2 linked regions of the Saccharomyces cerevisiae S288C genome follow. The protein of the gene in region 1 interacts with the protein of each later gene in a biochemical or structural test. Each region holds a gene or a part of one and is shown on either strand. Other genes may lie near its edges. The genes, in order: COR1 and CYC1.

The links.
Region 2: the proteins of COR1 (region 1) and CYC1 are reported together in a solved structure, tested with the Saccharomyces cerevisiae proteins (one study listed by BioGRID).

The regions. Positions count from the first base shown.
Region 1 is NC_001134.8:133,643-137,797, forward strand, and holds COR1 (ubiquinol--cytochrome-c reductase subunit COR1), read right to left. Parts: upstream 1,875-4,155; coding exon 501-1,874; downstream 1-500. Other genes in the region: PSY4 (Psy4p), read left to right, coding at 1-107; YBL044W (uncharacterized protein), read left to right, coding at 2,356-2,724; ECM13 (Ecm13p), read left to right, coding at 3,046-3,819. UniProt on the Saccharomyces cerevisiae protein: Component of the ubiquinol-cytochrome c oxidoreductase, a multisubunit transmembrane complex that is part of the mitochondrial electron transport chain which drives oxidative phosphorylation.
Region 2 is NC_001142.9:524,782-527,471, forward strand, and holds CYC1 (cytochrome c), read left to right. Parts: upstream 1-1,553; coding exon 1,554-1,883; downstream 1,884-2,690. Other genes in the region: ANB1 (translation elongation factor eIF-5A), read right to left, coding at 127-600; UTR1 (NADH/NAD(+) kinase), read right to left, coding at 2,103-2,690.

The sequences.
Region 1 (4,155 bases):
TAGTGAGTCCATCGATGAGCTCTTCACAAGAGGATAAGATGGTTGCGATTGCTGGTATTACCTACCGTGAGAATATTAGCAGTCCATTAGGCAAGAAGTCCAGATGATCGAGAGATGACTTCTCTACCAACAACTTCCCATTTGCATAATATCATTAAATATGTTTTACCAAAAAAAAGTTCATCTTTCTTATTTTTAAAATCGATAGTTCTTCAGGATCTTGGTCACATATATATATATATATATATATACACTTATATAAAATAAGACGTTTATTTAATCTTGTTTTCTTACGAGTTTCTTTTTTTTTCTTTTTTTATTTTCTACTTTTGCAAGGAACAGTGACCTTGCCAATAAATAATGAAGACTACTTGGGTTACTAGAATATAAAATACATGTAAAAAATTCATTTATGGTGTGAGTGTGCGAGCGTGCCTGTATACATCTAGCAGCTTGCTTATTTCTATTTTATGTGCATGGAAAATATATTATCACACATCTTACCATCTCATCATGGACATGTCACTTCTGATTCTCATGTAATCTAATAACCCTTCAATTTGGCCTGTACCAGCAATAGCAATATCTTGGTCCCATAATCTCTTACCGGCCCAAGCCTTAACATCTTTGACTGTGATTGCATCAATTTTCTTGAAAGCCTCACCCAGAGACAGTTTGGAGCCCTTGATTAGGACTTCTGCGCCTAACAAGTTAGCGTCATTGACGGGATTACCAGATTCGTATAACTGCCCTAATTGTAATTTCAACAGCGATTTGGCACGTTCAACTTCAGTATCAGTGACAGAAATGGTCAATCTGTTCCATTGTTTCAAAGTGAAATGGATGAGGTCGTCAATCATGGTAACGTTTCTCGTGGCCGTAGAGAACCCCCATAAACCGGAATCTTTGTAAGAAAGAGAGAAATGATTGAAATTGTCGCATAATTGGTACTCCTGTATGTTGTCTAACAATTTGATACCTTGTAATCTAGAAGCGGGTTCGAAGGCGTTGTATGAGCCGAAAATTTGGGCGGCTAATTTAGCAACAAAATAATTTGGTGAATTGACAGGTTCACCTTCCACAGCCAGCGAAATCCACGCCTTTGGCAAGGTGTCGTCTCTCAATCTAACTTCGGAACCCAAGAAAGCGGCCTTTTTCTTGAGTACGGGCTTGGTACCGGTTTGCAAACTTAGGTTTTTGGATTCGATGGAATTTACTAAATCCTCATGTTTGATATTACCGGTACCAACAACAACAGCATTTGAATTCAAGAAATGGTTATTGGCAAAAGATTCCAGATCAGCAACAACTAAATTCTCCAAGGACTCCAAAGTACCTCTAGTAGGCAAAGATAATGGAGTGTTTTGGAAGGCGGTGGAGTGTAAATGTTCCAAAACTCTGTTGGGATGGTCGTTTTCTTCAAAATCTTGAACTTGCTTCAAGACAGATTTCTTCGTGGCCTCGAAGTTAGAAGAAGATAGCAAATTAGCCTTTTGTTGGATGAAAGACTGATTCAAGAAGTCTAGTGATTTATCGGTAGAACCTGGCAAAGAAGATACAATGTAAGATTGGAAGTCTCTGGAGATATTGGAAGACAATGCCAAACCTTCCTTGGCGGCAACAGCAGAGTTTTCTTTGGATAGAAAGATGTTCTTCCATAAATTGGAAACCCCGTTGTTATAAGGGTTTTCGTTGGCAGCACCGGAGCCGAAGACAACACCGACAGAGGCTGTGTGAGCGGAAGGATTATGCTCAGTGGCTACAACTATACCGTTAGATAATTGCGTTACTTCGGCCTTGGGGGTTGCTACAGCTGTAGCCAAAGACCTCTTGAACTGGTTAGATACAGTCTTTGAAGTTACTGTTCTTAGCATTTTTTTTGTTTATATATCTTGTGTTTTCTTTCTCAGTGATATGGTGACGATGATGTTCTTCTCGTATTATTACTCCACAATTGTCTTGATCAGCAATGGTAGCAATTTAATATTAGGATTCGTTACCTATACGAACAGGGATGATATAATATTTTTTCTGTGAAAGCTATTGCTTTATTATACGCTGTTTTCCTCGAATAAGACGGGGAAAGAGAGTAGGGGAATATCGGTTAGGGAGCGCTGTAGGCCTTTAATTTTCTTGTTTGGTTTTTATTTGGTGCAGCTGACAGCGCGGGCCCTTGAACTTCTGGAGGACAAAAAACACTGTTAATTTATTGGCATTTCATTGGTGCAGAAAGCGTGCTGTCCGGGTCACAGTTAAAGTTCATATACATGTTACCCTACCCAGTCCGGGTTATGTAAATCGTGAAAAAGAATATCTGGTTTTAAAATCTCTCTTTTCTTTTTCCCCCTGGTGGGTATGGGTGAAATGCTAGAGAGGCAAAAAAAAAGGTTGCCAAGTAAAGCGAAGTATTTGAAGTATACTGCAAGCATCACCGAAACAGGAAATCACGAAGCTGACTCATCTGTGATTTTCCGTCCCCACCATAGTGATGTAACATGCAGTAACGCACGGCGGGCCGAAAGTCGGACTTTACCCCAGATTTGTAGTTGTATCCTATTGGATCACGGGCGACGGACAAGACCCGAAGTGCGGACCGGCATGGTCAGCTTGCACGGAAGCTTTAAGGGTTTCCCTTGTTTCGGCATTAGAAGAGGCATTTCGCACGTTTTACCGGGTCAGAAACTTCGAGGAAGCTGTGACAATTGGAAAAAAAGGCAAAACTAAATGCAATGTATCCGGTTGCCCATGCATTATTTGTGATGTTTTCGGATGTAGTTCGCTGCGCTCCGCGGCGATATATCCTCTAGCGAGAGGCATATGTATAAATATATATATATATATCTAACAAAAGCATTCAAGTTTCTTTCTCTGGTGTTACGTCTTTGTTCGACTTTCTCTGCTTACAGCCCTGTATGACCAAAGAAAAAATAAAAAGACAGCTACATACCAGCAGAAATTTTTTATAGTATTACACTATACATCCAAGTTTTTTCACAATTATTTATTGTTTTTCTCACATAGAAAATTCCGCATACTGCGATTATAATGAACTCTACAACCCCATCGATTCAAGATCAATATATTTTGGCCAGCAAAGTACGCTCCAAGCTGGCAAAATGCGTTAGCGTGACTACTAAAAACAAAGACTACAACCTGAGAGTTTTAGTCGGGCACGCAAACTTGCTGGATAAGATTACAGAAAATGTGGAAACTCATAATGCTGCAACCAACGCCCTTGCCGGAGACCCTTTCAGTAAAGGACCTGAAAACTTGTCCATCGAACATATCGAATTGTCCAATGCTAATGCTAGTAAAAATGACGTCGGTAAGGAGGAAAATGCAGAAAAGACGATAGAAAGTGAAGATTACTGTGATTTTTACTCTAGTGACGAAGATCCAGATGCTGACACTCTATCTTCTACTGACAGTGAAGACGATGATGATTATGAAGACTATGATTTTGAGTACGATTACTCTGGCGGTGATTATAACAAGAAAATTGACATGTACTTTAGTTTTCACACCGCACCTAATTATCAATATTTGACTCACACAAACTCTCATTCCGAGCAGACGGATGAACTTGCCGAATCAACGCCGCGCTACAATGCTCTTCCCGCCACTGCCTCTACGACAGAGGAAGAACAGGACACTGAAACGCTCGATGCTGTGAGTTTGCATAGTTCAGCGCCAATCTTCCGTGTGCTCTCTCGGCGGGTAAATGGACAAGAAGATGACAGCGAAAACGAGAGTAGTAGCGATGTCGACGATGGTTCCGTACCATTAACGAGATTTCATTCTTGTCCTATCACAGCATAAATTAAAATGAAGGAAATAACACAACTTCGTTTTGCATTATCATATTCACATCTGCATCCTATTTTTTTTTTCTCATTGTTGTTGTATCATTATTACTAACTAGTGCATCACCACTTGTCTAAATACCAAACGCAAAATATATATATTCTTACTTCATAACGTTCAAAATAAAGTTTTTAGTTTAAAATAAAATAAAATAAAAAAAAAAAAAAAAAAAAAAAAGAACCTTTTGTTTTCGCCCAGTATATGGGTAAATTAACGGTTCCTTTTATTAGTCATTTTCAACTCTATACCATGCTCCAAAACGGCGTTCGGCACAGGTTTTTTATTTTACCA
Region 2 (2,690 bases), on another chromosome or scaffold:
AGAACGAAGTTAGTTAGGATGAATAATTATGATTATGATTATTATAATATTATATAAAATGTATAAATAAGATTTCTAGATCAAAAAAACATCGCGTATTTTGTAAGCTATAGAAATCTAAAATATCTAATCAGATCTTGGAGCTTCCTTGAAGGAGATGGCAGCTTCTTCACCCATGGCAGAAATGATAGTGACCATCAAATCCTTACCTTCATCGAAAGCAGCTTGCATGCTGTCACCCAATTCACCTTCTGGTGCCTTGACATCGTCTTTGGTTTCACCGTCCATGGTCATCAAGGACAAGTAGCCATCATCAATATCCAACAATTGGTATTCGCTTCTCTTGACAAATGGAACTTCCAAGTTGTGAGTGGATGGAGACAAATCTTCCAACTTCTTACCAGTGAAGATATCAAGGGTAACCAAATGGACCTTGGCGTGACCGTGCTTACCGGTCTTGGAAGTGGACATGTCGACAATCTTACATGGTCTACCTTTGATGACAACGAAACCATTCTTTCTCAAGGCAGAACATTGCATTGGGTAGGTGGCGGAGGCACCAGCGTCAGCATTTTCAAAGGTGTGTTCTTCGTCAGACATGTTTTAGTGTGTGAATGAAATAGGTGTATGTTTTCTTTTTGCTAGACAATAATTAGGAACAAGGTAAGGGAACTAAAGTGTAGAATAAGATTAAAAAAGAAGAACAAGTTGAAAAGGCAAGTTGAAATTTCAAGAAAAAAGTCAATTGAAGTACAGTAAATTGACCTGAATATATCTGAGTTCCGACAACAATGAGTTTACCAAAGAGAACAATGGAATAGGAAACTTTGAACGAAGAAAGGAAAGCAGGAAAGGAAAAAATTTTTAGGCTCGAGAACAATAGGGCGAAAAAACAGGCAACGAACGAACAATGGAAAAACGAAAAAAAAAAAAAAAAACACAGAAAAGAATGCAGAAAGATGTCAACTGAAAAAAAAAAAGGTGAACACAGGAAAAAAAATAAAAAAAAAAAAAAAAAAAGGAGGACGAAACAAAAAAGTGAAAAAAAATGAAAATTTTTTTGGAAAACCAAGAAATGAATTATATTTCCGTGTGAGACGACATCGTCGAATATGATTCAGGGTAACAGTATTGATGTAATCAATTTCCTACCTGAATCTAAAATTCCCGGGAGCAAGATCAAGATGTTTTCACCGATCTTTCCGGTCTCTTTGGCCGGGGTTTACGGACGATGGCAGAAGACCAAAGCGCCAGTTCATTTGGCGAGCGTTGGTTGGTGGATCAAGCCCACGCGTAGGCAATCCTCGAGCAGATCCGCCAGGCGTGTATATATAGCGTGGATGGCCAGGCAACTTTAGTGCTGACACATACAGGCATATATATATGTGTGCGACGACACATGATCATATGGCATGCATGTGCTCTGTATGTATATAAAACTCTTGTTTTCTTCTTTTCTCTAAATATTCTTTCCTTATACATTAGGACCTTTGCAGCATAAATTACTATACTTCTATAGACACACAAACACAAATACACACACTAAATTAATAATGACTGAATTCAAGGCCGGTTCTGCTAAGAAAGGTGCTACACTTTTCAAGACTAGATGTCTACAATGCCACACCGTGGAAAAGGGTGGCCCACATAAGGTTGGTCCAAACTTGCATGGTATCTTTGGCAGACACTCTGGTCAAGCTGAAGGGTATTCGTACACAGATGCCAATATCAAGAAAAACGTGTTGTGGGACGAAAATAACATGTCAGAGTACTTGACTAACCCAAAGAAATATATTCCTGGTACCAAGATGGCCTTTGGTGGGTTGAAGAAGGAAAAAGACAGAAACGACTTAATTACCTACTTGAAAAAAGCCTGTGAGTAAACAGGCCCCTTTTCCTTTGTCGATATCATGTAATTAGTTATGTCACGCTTACATTCACGCCCTCCTCCCACATCCGCTCTAACCGAAAAGGAAGGAGTTAGACAACCTGAAGTCTAGGTCCCTATTTATTTTTTTTAATAGTTATGTTAGTATTAAGAACGTTATTTATATTTCAAATTTTTCTTTTTTTTCTGTACAAACGCGTGTACGCATGTAACATTATACTGAAAACCTTGCTTGAGAAGGTTTTGGGACGCTCGAAGGCTTTAATTTGCAAGCTTCGCAGTTTACACTCTCATCGTCGCTCTCATCATCGCTTCCGTTGTTGTTTTCCTTAGTAGCGTCTGCTTCCAGAGAGTATTTATCTCTTATTACCTCTAAAGGTTCTGCTTGATTTCTGACTTTGTTCGCCTCATGTGCATATTTTTCTTGGTTCTTTTGGGACAAAATATGCGTAAAGGACTTTTGTTGTTCCCTCACATTCCAGTTTAGTTGTCGACTGATACTGTTAATAAACTCATCGGGCGAGGCTTCCACGGTTGGAAAAGCATATGGGCTGGCGCATATGGTTATAAAATCACCTTTTTGCAATTCAATTCTATCTTTCCCATCAAAAGCCGCCCATGCTGGAGCCCTTGACTTCATCGAGACTTTCACTTTTAAATTTATACTTTCTGGTAAGATGATGGGTCTGAAACTCAATGCATGTGGACAAATGGGTGTTAAAGCGATTGCATTGACGGTTGGGCATACCAATGACCCACCTGCACTCAAAGAATAGGCCGTGGACCCAGTCGGAGTAGCAGC